Stegostoma tigrinum: one gene and its partner. The protein of the gene in region 1 purifies or fractionates together with the protein of each later gene. This does not show direct contact. Links are inferred from orthologs where the notes say so. Each region holds a gene or a part of one and is shown in the gene's direction. Other genes may lie near its edges.

Region 1 (8,230 bases):
GATCAGAACTTGTTTACATAGCAGGTAAATACCAATGTATACTGATTGGGCTTAATTTTCATGTTGTAATTAATATGTCTGAGCATACTAATATATTTCTAATAACTCCCATTTTCAACAGATTCATTAATGTCATCCACATTAAAAGTCAAATGTACACTTGCTCAGATTATGACTCCCAAACTGTAGCTGCAGTTCTTGCCCATTCACACCACAAATATAACATGTTTTTAAATCAAATGTCATGTCCTGGCATGAAACTATGTGAAAGAAACATACATACTATCTCCACCCTATGAAATAACTTGCTCCTATTAGAGGCTTCTGTCTGACGCTGAGCAATGGTAAATTCATGTCATTTTGCTTTGATGAACAAGTTAGTGCTTCACTTAAGTTAAATTCCATACATGTTAACAGTCAAATTGGAATGTGAGTGAGCAATTAAATGAATGCTCAAGGCTACAAAATGGAGTGTGTGCAAAATATAATGTGAATAACAACAAAAAAAAACACATTTTCATACAATTCTTACCAGAGTTCATTGGAAGGGCAGCCCAGCTTGGTCCCATAATGGTAAATTACTCTTATAATTTGTTGTTTCGAAGGCCAAATTGTTAAAATCACATGGTTAGAACATAGAATGTAGAACAATACAGTGCAGAACAGGCCCTTCAGCCCTTGATGTTGTGCCGACCTATTAACTAATCTAAGTCCCTGCCCCTACACTATCCCATCATCATCCATATGCTTATCCAAGGACTGTTTAAATGCCCCTAATGTGGCTGAGTTAACTACATTGGCAGGCAGGGCGTTCCATGCCCTTACCACTTGAGCCTTGAGCCACTGAAATCCAATCAATTAATAGTGGAGTACTTAGAAGGCAAATAGTAATTATTTCTGTAGGTGCTAAAAATACTGACATTTTGTTACACATTTATTGAAAAAATATTCAACACGAAAATAATTGCACATGAAAATTAAATGTTAGACAGCATTTTATTACAAAGTATATGTAGATTTTAGAAAGCATTTGCTCATCCTATAATATGTGAGAATTATTGTTTCCTCTAAGCTAAATGAATTAAGGGTTTTTTAGACCATAAGACCATAAGACATAGAAATGGAAGTAAGGCCATTTGGCCCATCAAGTCCACTCCGCCATTTAAATCATGGCTGATGGGCATTTCAACTCCACTTCCCTGCACTCTCCCCGTAGCCCTTGATTCCTTCTGAGATCAAGAATTTGTCGATCTCTGCCTTGAAGGCATCCAACGTCCCAGCCTCCACTGCACTCCGTGGCAATGAATTCCACAAGCCCACCACTCTCTGGCTGAAGAAATGTCGTCTCATTTCAGTTTTAAATTTACCCCCTCTAATTTTAAGGCTGTGCCCACGGGTCCCAGTTTCCCCGCCTAACGGAAACAACTTCCTAGCATCCACCCCTTCTAAACCATACATTATCTTGTAAGTTTCTAGCACTTGTTGTTCGAGTGCATCACTGATTGATACATCTCAAAATTATTAATTTCATTGCTTTCAGTTAAACCCAACCCTGCTCCAGCAACAAAAGCATTTTTTGTGTTGCATTGCTGGTTAAAGCTGACTTCAAAAAATTCATAGCACAGGATTGAGCAAAAATGTCATTAAGTGTCATGGGAAAATGGTTAAACTTTCTTGTTGCAGGCAGTCTTGTCAAAGTGCTGCGATTCAGTGAAGGATCTGCCTTTGAGCAGAGAACTCAAGAAGTAGTCAGTATATTTAGTTACATTCCACAATATCTCAGATGATGAAGTAATCCAATATTCAAGAATATCTAGATTTAGGCAAGCAAACATTTGGCACCCAAGTGCTGCGATTTTCTTTTTCCTCCAGGTATGGTGCCAAGGCAGTCCTCACGTCTGCCTCAACTGAAATATGGATCAAACCCATTCTGTTGGTATTAAGCTGATCTGCACACTTGCTGTCTATCTCAGCTTCACTTCCTCAAAAATACAGCGTTATCACAGGGAAGTGATTAATTAAGTAGCTTTATATTATTGGGCCTAGGTCATTGTCCTGGGAAAAAAGCAGCAATTACCTGAGGCTGAGATGATTTGTCTTCCAACATCAACCTTCTTTTGTGCCAGATATGATTCTCAACCACTGGAAATTTTTCCTATTTCCCACTGACTTCAATTTTGTTAGGGCTCTTGGGTATCACACGTGGTTGCATGTTGCCATGACTTTAAGGGGAGCCACTGTAATTCCATGTCTGGAGTACAGCTCTTGAGAAAGGCTGGACTGATGTATGAAACTGAGTGGATTTGACTGGGACCAAGCTGAGTCTCAGTGACATGCACAGAACCCATCATCATTCCTCAGATTCTTCACTTCAATGCCGCAGTTTTGTTTGCCGGAAGTAAGCTGAACACACTCCTCTTGCAGAGAAACATACTCTTAACTGAACCCAGAGAATTTAGGTAAACAGTGGCAATTTCAACAATTTTAGGAAGTCTGTAGGTGTACTACAGTTGAAAATAAACTGCCTTAAACAGTAGTCTACAAGAGAATCAAGTGACATTGGGATAGGGAGAAAAGTGGACTTAAGGCTGCAGTCAGATCAGCCATGACCTTACTGAATCGTGGAACAGATTGATGGGCCAAATGACTTATTTCTGCTTCTATTTTGTATGTTCCACATAACTCTTCCCCAATGCAAAGATACAGTTGAAGCAATTAGCAGAAATAAATTGCATTAATAACTTCAAGCGTGTGATCAACTCAATACAAGCTCAAGCAAAGAGGAAGTAGAGAAAACTGTGCTCTTTATTAGCAGGTTAAGTTCTCACTGTACGGACGTAAATTTTAAGCTTCCCCTTCCTACCCTTTTTTTTGAAAGACTTAAGGGATGTAGACATTATGACCATTTATTGCCCATTCTTAGTTCCGCTTGAAGGTGCCTTCTTGAAATACTGTATTTGCTGTGTACACCTACAATGTTGTTGGGAGTTCTAGTATTTTGATACAGTGACATTGACAGAGCAGCAGTACTTTTCCATACCAGATGGTGAGTGGCTTGGAAGCAGTGTGGTCTTTCTTTTGCTCCTCATCAGGTTAAAAGAAATATGGAGATCTACAGCACAGGAGAAGGCCTATTGACCCACAGAGTCAGTACCAGTCAAAAAACAGGCACCTGACAATTCTAAGATAATGGGAACTGCAGATGCTGGAGAATTCCAAGATAATAAAATGTGAGGCTGGATGAACACAGCAGGCCAAGCAGCATCTCAGGAACACAAAAGCTGACGTTTCAGGCCTAGTTTCTAGGCCCGAAACGTCAGCTTTTGTGCTCCTGAGATGCTGCTTGGCCTGCTGTGTTCATCCAGCCTCACATTTTATTAACCTGACAATTCTAATCCCATTATCCAGTACTCAGTTCATAGTCTTGTGTGTCTTGACATTGCAAGTAGACATCTAAATACTACTTAAATATTATGAGGATTTTCTGCACATACTACCCTTATAGATAGTGAATTCCAGATTTCACCAGCCTCTGGATGAAATTGTTTTTCTTTGCATCTCCACTAAATCTCCTGTCCCTTATCTCAAATCCATGTTCCCTGCTTACTGATCCTCCACCAAGGAGAAAGGTTCCTCTCTATCTTTCTTCGCTATCTATTCCCTCATAACGTTTTAACAAAGATCTGTGGCTCAGGTTGTGGCTGGAATTGTTGGCTGTTTCGCAAAGCTGACTGATTTGAGTGCTAATGTTCCACCCCCCTTTTAGATGACATCTTCAGAGCTGTCTAGCCTCTGTCTAAGCCCCTCATAATTTTATATATTCTAATCACATCTCTCCTCAGTTGCAAGGAAAACACCAATCTATCCAACTTCTCCTCACAACTAAACCTCTGCTGTCCAGGCAACAGACTGGCAAATCTCCTCTGCACCTGTCTGGTGCAATCACATCCCTCCTATTATGTGGATTCCAGAATTACACAATACTCTGGCTGTGGCCTGACAAACATTTTATACAATTCAACATGACCTCCCTCCTCCTAAATGATTGGTCTCAGCTAATAGGGCAAACTTCCCATTGCCTTCTTAACTACTTAATCTACTGTCCTCTACCTTAAGGAACCAGCAGACATGCACATCAAGTTTGCTCTGATCCTTAGTGCTTCCTAGATTTCTACCCTTTATATATTCCATTGCCTTGCTTCTCCCGCCCAAATGCATCACCTCACACTTTATTCGGACTGAATTCTATTTGCCGCCACTGACCTGTCTGACCAAATCATCTTCAACCTTCAGTACTCTAAAGCTATCCTCCTGTATTGGCAGTAACCACTTTAGCATCACTGCGCAGCTTTGAAGTGTTTGCTAAAATGTCTGTTTATGAACACAATTCATATGCTTTAACGAAACAACCCAGACTCAGCAATCAAACATCAAACGTCACCACCCAACCCCTGCTGAAAGAGAATTGCACAGTCCTCTGGAGTATCAAGTTGGATAGAATGAGCAGGTGTAACAATGAGTGGTAGGTGCAGGGCCGAATCAGCTGGCTAAGTCGCGGCATGACGCAATGGCAACGCTGGGCCAATGAGAGGCAGGAGGAGGGGCGGGGCGTGTGGGGGCGGGGAAGGGGAAGAGGGCGAAAGAGAAAAAGAGGAAAGTGGCGCCGGGCGGGTGAGGGGAAGCTGAGAATTAAGGATTCTCATACGGAAGAGGTGTGTAGGTGGAGGTTTTTTTTAACACATTAAAAAAAACGCAAGATGCGAAAGTGATAAGAGTTCGATCCTGTCCGTTGGTCTTGAATTTTCCAATGTGCCGAGAAGATGGAGCAAAGCGAAATTCTGAGGAAATTCATTAACCGGGTGCTGGAAATGAAAGTCCGCGACCAGAATGGGGAGGACAACTTTGCCAGCGACTTCATGGTGAGTTTAATTGTTTTTTTTCTCACTTACGAGTATTGTTTTTCCTTTGTAGTAAACGAACTTTCGCGAACTGGAATCGATTTTTCTCCTTTGGGTGAGTTTGGCCGTGTAAGGTTGGTGGCGGCGCCTTAGCAACAACCCTTACCCCTTGTCCCAGCTTCTCAACCAACACCCACTGGGGAGGAATGAGGACCATCACTGCCAGCTCCAGGCTGTGCGGCCTAAACCGCTCCCTCATGGCTTCTCGTTCACTTTCAGAAAACAAAAATCAGAAAGCTGCATTTGTCGGGTGCTGCGAACTCTGTTTTTTCAGAGATACCATTTAAGCTATAGTTTGGACAATTGTAAAGCTGTGTTTGTTAAAGGGTCTGTCTTGAGTGAAACTCCTGCCTTGTACAACAAAAAATGCAATGAATTTATCAGCTGTGACTCAGAAATGTGGGGAGTTTGCGGATGTTGCGCAAGGCACGGGGCGTTGTGTTCGCTCCAACGAAGTGTGTAATGACTGGATTTTCGTTGTTGACTGGACTGTTTTTATTTTTTTGCTTCAGTACAATATTCGGAACACTTCGGGTCCTGATTATTAGACATGCTAGTATCCGCTGGAGTAACTCGGGTACCGAAAAAGAGAATCAGCGTCTACTAGTACCCAGGAACTGTATGTGGGGGGAGGAATACGATTTAGCTGCATTCACTGAATGAAAGAGTTTGTGGACATTAGTGATTGCATGAAGGCAAGATTAAACAGGATTATGATAATCTTTTTTGGTGGAATGAGCCCTCTGGTATTCAATGCTTAGATTGAATCGTTAGCACATAAGTGAAAATGTTGGAGGGAGGTTCATGCCTGTGAATCTTGTCTGTAATGATTCACAACATTTTGGGGAAAATCAACATTGGAAGTTGAATTTTGATTAAAAGTTGCCATCAATGAACAATAGAAGATGGCTGTTCAGTCCATTGACATCTGCATCTATTATTCACCTCCACTGTTACATATTTTAATATAATACATTAAGCACAGTAAATGCCTTTTGGTACTTCACAGGAGAAATTTTATAGAAAGTGACATTAGGAGAGACAGCCAAAAGCTTGGGCAGCAATTTAAGTTTGAAGGCTTGCAGATGCTGCAGTTAAAATCAGGGATGTGCATGAGGTCAGAATGGAAGAACATAAACATTTTGGAATGTGGTAGGGCTGGAGTAACCGTGGAATGAGCTGCCAGAGGTGGTGGAGGAAGCTGGTACAATTGAATAGTTAAAACACATCCGTGTGGGTATATGAATAGGAAGGGGTTGGACGGATGTGGGCTAAATGCTGGCAAATGGGACCAGATTTATTTAGGATACTTGGTCAGGATGATGAGTAGGACATCTTTATGACTCCTTACTTTTGGAACAATAAGGAATGAGGTTGTAGAAGGCTTTGAAAATGAGAATGAATGTTTTAAACTTTGAGGCGTTTTGGACCAGGACTAATAAAGGTGAGCATGCAAGGAGGTGACATTTGAATGGAATCTGTGCGAGTTAAGTTGCAGACAGCAAAGTTTTAAATGAACTCCAATTTAAAATGGAAGATGGGAGGCAAGCCAGATGAGCATTGGAATAGTCAAGACTAAAGCCAGCAAAGGCATAGTTGCTGGGAGAACAAGTGAGCTGCAGAGTTTGGAATCAGACATCACTAAAGGTAACAAGGTGTAGAGCTGGGTGAACGCAGCAGGCCAAGCAGGAAAGCTGACGTTTTGGGTTGGGACTTCTCTTTAGAAGAAACTTCAGCTTTCCTGCTCCTCTACTGCTTGGCCTGTTGTGTTCATTCAGCTCGCTACCTTGTTATCTCAGATTCTCCAGCTTTGACAATTCCCACAATCTCTGAATCACAAGGGTAGAGTTTCATATAAAAGTGGAAAGAACTGTGGATGCAGTAAATCAGAAACAAACACAGAAATTGTTGAAAAAGCTCACCAGGTATGGAAGCATTTATGAAGACAAAGCAGAGTTAACATTTTGGGTCTGGTGACCTGAGGAAGGGTCACTGGTCCCTAAAATGTTAACTCTGATTTCTCTTCAGATGCTGCCAGATCTTCTGAGATTTTCAAGTAATTTCTGTTTGTTGTAGAAGTTTGTATAGTTGGGATGTTGTGAATATATGGTTGAAAGTTCATGTGGTCAAACGTGACAAGGTTGAGAACTACCTTTGTTTCAAGGTTGTAAGGAGTTGATGATAAAATGTGAGGCTGGATGAACACAGCAGGCCAAGCAGCATCTCAGGAGCACAAAAGCTGACTTTTCGGGCCTGGACCCTTCTTCAGAGAGGGGGATGGGGAGAGGGAACTGGAATAAATAGGGAGAGAGGGGGAGGCGGACTGAAGATGGAGAGTAAAGAAGATAGGTGGAGAGAGTATAGGTGGGGAGGTAGGGAGGGGATAGGTCAGTCCAGGGAAGACTGACAGGTCAAGGAGGTGGGATGAGGTTAGTAGGTAGATGGGGGTGCGGCTTGGGGTGGGAGGAAGGGATGGGTGAGAGGAAGAACAGGTGAGGGAGGCAGAGACAGGTTGGACTGGTTTTGGGATGCAGTGGATGGAGTGGAAGAGCTGGGCTGGTTGTGTGGTGCAGTGGGGGGAGGGGACGAACTGGGCTGGTTTAGGGATGCAGTAGGGGAAGGGGAGATTTTGAAACTGGTGAAGCCCACATTGATACCATACGGCTGCAGGGTTCCCAGGCGGAATATGAGTTGCTGTTCCTGCAACCTTCGGGTGGCATCATTGTGGCAGTGCAGGAGGCCCATGATGGACATCTCATCTAGAGAATGGGAGGGGGAGTGGAAATGGTTTGTGACTGGGAGGTGCAGTGTAAGGAGTTGGTTGGAATTTGTGGCTAGGGAATAGCATTTGCATCGTGGACTGAACACATTGTCTTCTCTACAAGTTGGAGGGAATTTCTGATCATCTGACAGTAGACAAAACTAACAATTTGAGTCTTGGGAGATGGTGGTCCAAGGTGTTATTAGTGAATGTGAACTTGATATTGCAGAATCTTGGGATCAGAATAATAGTGCAGAAGGAGATCGTTTGGCCTATCATATGCACAAGCTCTTTTTGAAGAATAATGCTGACAGTCCTATTTAGTAGCTCTGCCTGTTTCTGCACTTTTGCTTTCTCCTCTCTCCTCCCCCCCCCCCCTCCATTACATCTGAATTCCTTTTGAAATGATTCGTCAGTATGTTTCCATCATCTCATTAGTTAGTACAACCTAAATCCTAAGAGAAAAATAGGAGAAATGTGCCATGTCTGGCAGCACTTGTGGAGGGAAAAA
Region 2 (7,803 bases), on another chromosome or scaffold:
CATTCCATTTACGCACCATTCTCTGCAGGAAGAAGTTACCCCTCAGGTTCTTCTTAAATCTGTCTCCTCTTACGTTAAACCTATGCCCTCTAGCTTTCAATTCCCCATCCCTGGGAAAAAGACTATATGCATTCATCCTATCTATGCCCCTCATGATGTCATACACCTCATTAAGTTCACCCCTCATTCCCCTACAATCCAAGGAATAAAAGTTCTATCCTGGCCAACCTCTCCTATAGCTCAGGTACTCAGGTTTACTAGTCCTGGCAACATCCTCGTAAATCTTCTTTGCACATTTTCATGTCTAACTATGTCTTTCCTATAACAGGGTGACCAAAACTGTACACAATACTCCAAGCGCAGCCTCACCAACGACTTATACAACTGTAACGTAACGTCCCTATTCCTATAATCAATGCCTGGTGTGTGCGATTCGGGCCAGGACATGGGAGAGTTCAGGCCTTAAAATTATTGAACTCGATATTGAATCCGGAGGGCTGTCAGGTCCCCAGGCAGAAAATAAGGTGTTGTTTCTTCAGCTTTTCCAGTAACACCCTCATTCCAGGAATTCTCCTTAAACTGAGATAACAAGGCGTAGAATTGGATTAACGCAGCAGTCCAAGCAGCATCTTAGGAGCAGGAAAGCTGCCATTTCGGGCCCAGACCCTTTTCTGATACAATGTTAACCCTCCTTTAACTGTTCTTATCACAGAATTGTTATGACACAGATGGAGGTCATTTGACCCATTGAAGCTGCATATGCTCTTCAAATTCAAACATCTTCATTACCTAGTGGAAATCTCCTGTTTTCTTCTCATTCCCTTGCACACTATTTCTATCTTAATAATGATCAAATATCCTTGAATATCTCAACTGAACTTGCCTCAATCATATTTCCAGGCAGTGCATTCTATATCTCAACTATTCACTGTGTGAAAAGATTTTCCTCAGTCTTTTGTGCATCTATGCCTTCTAGTTTCTAATGCAGCTATGTCTATTCCTAAATAAGGAGCCCAAAACTGTACTGCGGATACGGTCTCACCAATGGTTTTTTCAACTAAAGCAAAACATCCCACTTTCACATTCTATTCTCCTTGCAAAAAAATCAAATGCTAGGACACCTAGGTCCCTTTGCACCTTAAGGATTTTTCAATCTCTCTCCATGAAATAATACACTGCTTTTCCTGCCAAAGGGGACAAGTTCACTTTCTCACATTATACTCCATTTTCCTGTTCTGCTAACTTACCTAAATTCCATTGCAGACTTTGGCAGAGCCTACCTGTCTTTGTGTATTAAGCAAGATTTAGCAATGCATTTGGCCCCTTCAGCCGAGTCACTGACAGAGACCATAAGTAGAAGCAGGGCCATAAGACCATTAGACCACAAGACACAGGAGTGGAAGTAAGGCCATTCGGCCCATCAAGTCCACTCTGCCATTTAAATCATGGCTGATGGGCATTTCAACACCACTTCCCTGCACTCTCCCAGTAGCCCTTGATTCCTTTTGAGATCAAGAATTTGTCGATCTCTGCCTTGAAGGCATCCGACGTCCCGGCCTCCACTGCACTCCATGGCAATGAATTCCACAAGCCCACCACTCTCTGGCTGAACAAATGTCGTCTCATTTCAGTTTTAAATTTAACCTCTCTAATTTTAAGGCTGTGCCCACGGGTCCTAGTCTCCCCGCCTAACGGAAACAACTTCCCAGCGTCCACCCCTTCTAAACCATACATTATCTTGTAAGTTTCTATTAGATCTCCCCTCAACCTTCTAAACTCTCATGAGTACAATCCCAGGATCCTTAGCCGTTCATCATACGCTAAACCTACCATTCCAGGGATCATCCGTGTGAATCTCCGCTGGACACGCTCCAGTACTAGTATGTCCTTCCTGAGGTGTGGGGCCCAAATTGGACACAGTATTCTAAATGGGGCCTAACTAGAGCTTTATAAAGCCTCAGAAGCACTTTGCTGCTTTTATATCCCAACCCTCTTGAGATAAATGACAACATTACATTCGCTTTCTTAATTATGGACTCTACCTGCAAGTTAACCTTTACAGAATCCTGGACCAACACTCCCAGATCCCTTTGCACTTCTGCTTTACGAATTTTCTCACCGTTTAGAAAATAGTCCATGCCTGTATTCTTTTTTCCTAAGTGCAAAACCTCACATTTACTCACATTGAATTTCATCAGCCATTTCCTGGACCACTCTCCTAAACTGTCTAAATCTTTCTGCAGCTTCCCCACCTCCTCAGTACTACCTGCTTGTCCACCTATCTTCGTATCATCGGCAAACTTCGCCAGAGGTGAACAGCTGTGGCCCCAACACTGAACCCTGCGGGACACCACTCGTCACCAGTTGCCATTCTGAGAAAGAGCCTTTTATCCCAACTCTCTGCCTTCTGTCAGACAGCCAATCCTCAATCAAGCCAGTAGCTCACCTCGAACACCATGGGCTCTCACCTTGCTCAGCAGCCTCCCGTGAGGCACTGTAGCAAAGGCCTTTTGGAAGCCTAGATAGATAACATCTACCTGGTCTAACATACTTGTTACCTCCTCAAAGAATTCTAACAGGTTTGTCAGGCACAACCTCCCCTTACTAAAACCATGCTGACTTGTTTTAATCTGACCCTGCACTTCCAGGAATTTAGAAATCTCGTCCTTGACAATGCATTCTAGAATTTTACCAACTACCGAGGTTAGGCTAATCGGCCTATAATTTTCCATCTTTTGCCTTGATCCTTTCTTAAACAAGGGAGTTAAAACAGCAATTTTCCAATCATCTGGGACTTTCCCTGACTCCGAGATAATGGGAACTGCAGATGCTGGAGAATTCCAAGATAATAAAATATGAGGCTGGATGAACACAGCAGGCCAAGCAGGAGCAATTTCCCTGACTCCAGTGACTTTTGAAAGATCACGACCAAAGCCTCCGCTATTTCCTCAGCCACCTGCAGGACCCTGCAACATTGATCTGGGGGAAGAGGGGTGGAGGCATTCCACTTGTGACATCTTGCCCAATGAGAAAAAACCATTCACAAAGGCTCAATAATGAGGAAGTACAATTTTAAGGTGAAGGATGAGAAAATTAGAGGGGATTTAATGATTTTTTGTTTTCACTCAGAGAGTAGTGGGAATCTGGAATGCATTCCCAGGAAAAGTAACCTCATGATCTATTTTAAATGCGGAAGAGCACCTGAAATGCCATAACGTTCAAAACTACGGGCAGTTGCCAGAAAGTGAGATTACCACAGAAGGTTTTTTGTCAGTGCAAACTGGATATACTCAATGATTTCCCCTGTATTACAGGCCTAACTCTTGGTTTTTGGGCACACTAGGATATTAGCCCTTGGCACCATGAGTTATCGAAGAACCAGAGACAGCAATCTACGCTCCCCCCTCCACAACACTGCAGCAAAGGATTAATTCACAACTTATATTTTAATAATAGTTTTTCCTGATGAAGGGTCTGGACTCGAAACATCAGCTTTCCCGCTCCTCTGATACTGTTTCAGAGATAATGGGAACTGCAGATGCTGGAGAATCCCAGATAATAAAGTGTGAAGCTGGATGAACACAGCAGGCCAAGCAGCATTTCAGGATTGTGCTCAGCACTGTGCTCCTGAGATGCTGCATGGCCTGCTGTGTTCATCCAGCTTCACACTTTATTATCTCTGATACTGCTTGGCCTGTTGTGTTTATCCAGCTCTACACCTTGTTATCAGCAGCTCCTACTACCTCTGGTATTACAGCGCTCAGGAGCACTTGGCACTTGAGCCTCCGTCTCACGGACGAGAGGCGGGACCTCTGCCAGTGCGCCACATCATCGCGGTCAGCCCATCCGCACGTCACGGGGTAAGCCGTACTGCGCACGCTCGTGGCCGGCGAGCAAATCCCCGGGGCGGCGCCTGAGGACGCGCACGCATTTTGGCGTGCGCTGATTGGGTGCGCGCACGTCGGCGTCCTGCAGAGCTCGAGTCAGGCGGAGGGAAAGAGAGAAAAAAAAATCAGCCCCTTTTACCCTCCCCCCCCCCTCCCCCTCATCCCGGAGAGGATCGGATAAGCGCCATCAGGCAGCAAAGGCTCTGAGTATCAGCCCTGCCCCCCCCCCCCCACGACAATGGCCAGATTGGAGCAAGTACTGATCCTCGATCCGCCCGTCGAGCTCAAATTCAAAGGTGACTGACGCTCGCACCGACATATTTATTTATGTGTTATTGTTACTCTGCATTACACGGACCGGGTGCCGCTCGTCTCACACATTCACACTTCTTCCGTTTTCTTCGCATCCTTCGCTACTGCGGCTGTGGCCCGCCGCCGTAGTTTGCCTTGTCCCGGGTGGGTGGCTGGGAGCTGGTCCTTCAGCACCTATCCTCATCCTTGTTCCCCCCGCCGCCCCCCAACCAACCAAGCTCCGGGGTATTGGGAGGCCCCGGCCGGCTCCACTCGAATCCCCCGGCAGTTCGCTCGCTGCAGCCGCCATTTTGGTAGCGCGGACTAGGCCGCGCCTGGATCCTCGGCTTCGTCGTGATGGTGGTGGCGGCGGCGGCGTCTGCCGCGGCTGGGTTCGGTGTGAACTGAGTGTGCCGCGATTTTCCGCGAGGATCGTCTCGGTTCGGTTCATTCTTTTTCTCGCGGATGTCAGCTTTGCTCCGAGGCCGGGTGTTGCCGGGGGAAGGTGGAATGAGTCAGTTTATGCAGAGTGGGCCCCACGTTACCTGGTCTTTTTAAAAATTATTTTATTATTGCTGGCTGAAATCGGAAACCAGCTCTTTTGAGTAGGGGAAAGGTGCCGAATGCTGTGCTCGCCCCAGAGCACATGGGATTCGGAGGCTGGAGATTTTTTTTCATCCAGATTGCATCCTTCACGCGTTTAGCAGCCGTGGTCTATTTTCAGCAACGTCTCTGTGCACAGATATTCAACCTTACTTCAAAATATTTAGAATTGCCATTTGTAATAGTGGAAAACAGTCTGCTGAAGTGCCTCTTAGGAACATAGAAAGATGACAAGGAGCAGATAGCACTTAAAAAAAATTACTGAATGGTTCAGTAATTTTTAATATTTTAATTAGGAGCTAGACTTCTAACAGTGTATTGATACATCGAATCCTTACCCTGTGTAATGGGATAGCCTTCGTGTGTGTTTTTATAGATATAGTTAGCTGAATAATTATGGCAGAAATAGCAGACAGTTCATACGGTGGTTTTAAGTATTTCTATTTCGTAATTTTTTTACGTTCTAAGAAATGTGTTCAAACAGAAAAAAGCTTCAGGCTTAAATACCAAAATTAAGTTTGGGATAACTAGATACTTGTGTTCGAGTCTGGAGATTTTGCAGTGCTGGGAATAAGAACAGTTTCTCTCAAACTTATTTTCAAGTCCTGATGCTATATTTGGGTCATGGCTGTTTGAGAAGAGCCTCAGTATGTCTTGACCTGTATGCTTACCTTAATGTGATGTTGCATTGCTAGTCTCTTTGACACTTTACCATAGAACTAACTAGCTCCACCCAAAGTGCCAACGAGGCTGTTGGAGACATGACTGAGCTGCAATCTCTGCCCTTTGGCACCAAGTGGATTATGTTTCTTAAGATCATTAGTATGACATGATCTTGCACTTTCTTTGGCTAGGCTTCATTCCAAAGAACAGATCGAGTAAGTAATTTATGCTCTTGTCTTAATTGCTGATTCCAGATGACATTTAAGTTTGACCTTTTTAAAAAATGCTGCTAATTTTCGCTCAAATGTATTGTTGCTGAAAATTAACATAATGTTTTGTCATAAATAAATTGCTCAGTTTGTCAAATTTTGAATAAGGAGGAAAAGTCAGTATCAGTAAAGACTAAAATGGACTTGACAGATTTACATTTGTCTTTTGAAATCTTCTATTAAGAACTGGAATGACTGAAATGTTTTATCCTCTTCAGGGTGAGATTATGGCATTTGTTTTCTGGAGTTTGTGTGACATGTTGAAGCTTTCTTCAGCCTGCCATTGTTTAGGTATTTTATTTCTGATTTAACTAAATTATGCGGAGAAAGTAGTTTTCAATGAAGGAATTTAAATTGCAGTTGCTATGCTGAGTGAAATCAAGCAGTTTTTACCACTCACCACTCTCCACCATCCCTTGTCAAAAATCTGGGTTTTCAACTTTTATTTGACCTTAGACTCTGGAACGTGATAAGCCACATGGTACCTTTCACACCTCCTATTCACCAATGGCTTTGAAGCCTCTTACTCGGGTCTGGAAATTCCTTTGAATTCCACCTTGCTGTTTTTGATCATAACCTCTCTGAAGGGATGTTAATGTTGTGATAATGCTGCTGGATGAATGATTTACAGATGCGACTTCAAATCTCACCACAGCTCAAACTCAGAAAGTTAAAAAGTCTACTGCAGGAAGTCCTTGATTTTTGACTCTCGCAACAGTGAACTCTGATGGCATCAGGTTCAGCTCAGGCAATGCTGGATTACCACCTCCTGTCCTCCCTCCACTGAAAAATCTATGTACTTCATTGTTGAATACTGTCTGGGAGTAATGTTGAGAATAGGAAGGGCACGATTTGTTCTCTGTGAGAAAATTCAATGAGCAATTGTAGCTTTGTAGCTCCACTACTGACTGAGCTCCCAAGGTCATAAATGCTGTGTTGAGCCTGTGACAGCAAACAAGGGAACCAACAAGAGGGACAAGGAAGACCTCGTTCGCACCAATCTATCTGTCACGGATGCATTCCTCTCTGACAGCATTGAGAGGAATGACACAGACTGTGGGGAGATGGAGTCCTGCCCTTTTTGAATATCTGTTCCACTATCTGTGTGGCAGTTTGACCATGCTGAGTTGTAGGAGATGCCACAAGTATCCCCATCCTCATTGATGGTGGGACCTAGGATATCATTGCATTAGACCAGGCTAGAGCATTTGCACGTATCATCAGTCAAATCTATCTGGACTTGCAAAAGGCCTTTGATATGGTGCCTCATGGGAGGCTGCTGAGCAAGGTGAAGGCCCATGGTGTTCGAGGTGAGCTACTGGCTTGGATTGAAGATTGGCTGTCTGACAGAAGGCAGAGAGTTGGGACAAAAGGCTCTTTTTCAGAATGGCAACTGGTGACGAGTGGTGTCCCGCAGGGTTCAGTGTTGGGGCCGCAGCTGTTCACCTTGTATGTTAATGATCTGGATGAAGAGACTGGGGGCATTCTGGCAAAGTTTGCCGATGATACAAATATAGGTGGACAGGCAGGTAGTACTGAGGAGGTGGGGAAGCTGCAGAAAGATTTAGACAGTTTAGGAGAGTGGTCCAGGAAATGGCTGATGAAATTCAACGTGAGCAAATGTGAGGTTTTGCACTTGGGGGAAAAAGAATACAGGCATGGACTATTTTCTAAACGGTGAGAAAATTCGTAAAGCAGAAGTGCAAAGGGATCTGCGAGTGTTGGTCCAGGATTCTCTCAAGGTTAACTTGCAGGTAGAGTCCGTAATTAAGAAAGCGAATGTAATGTTGCCGTTTATCTCAAGAGGGTTGGAATATAAAAGCAGCGAAGTGCTTCTGAGGCTTTATAAAGCTCTAGTTAGGCCCCATTTAGAATACTGTGTCCAATTTGGGCCCCACACCTCAGGAAGGACATACTAGTACTGGAGCGTGTCCAGCGGAGATTCACACGGATGATCCCTGGAATGGTAGGTTTAGCATATGATGAACGGCTAAGGATCCTGGGATTGTACTCATGAGAGTTTAGAAGGTTGAGGGGAGATCTAATAGAAACTTACAAGATAATGTATGGCTTAGAAGGGGTGGATGCTG

What was found. The genes of interacting proteins can lie anywhere in the genome.
Region 2: the proteins of tyrosine-protein phosphatase non-receptor type 12-like (region 1) and vapal purify together in Homo sapiens (affinity purification with mass spectrometry; 3 studies listed by BioGRID and IntAct, counting the BioPlex papers as one, with this or other methods). This does not show direct contact. The link is inferred for Stegostoma tigrinum from reciprocal best matches to the Homo sapiens genes PTPN12 and VAPA.

What each region holds. Positions count from the first base shown.
Region 1 is NC_081378.1:24,620,294-24,628,523, forward strand, and holds the start of tyrosine-protein phosphatase non-receptor type 12-like, read left to right. Parts: upstream 1-4,634; 5' UTR 4,635-4,820; coding exon 4,821-4,919; intron 4,920-8,230. UniProt on the Homo sapiens protein: Dephosphorylates a range of proteins, and thereby regulates cellular signaling cascades. Dephosphorylates cellular tyrosine kinases, such as ERBB2 and PTK2B/PYK2, and thereby regulates signaling via ERBB2 and PTK2B/PYK2.
Region 2 is NC_081358.1:115,000,214-115,008,016, forward strand, and holds the start of vapal (VAMP (vesicle-associated membrane protein)-associated protein A, like), read left to right. Parts: upstream 1-4,024; 5' UTR 4,025-4,125; coding exon 4,126-4,183; intron 4,184-7,803. UniProt on the Homo sapiens protein: Endoplasmic reticulum (ER)-anchored protein that mediates the formation of contact sites between the ER and endosomes via interaction with FFAT motif-containing proteins such as STARD3 or WDR44.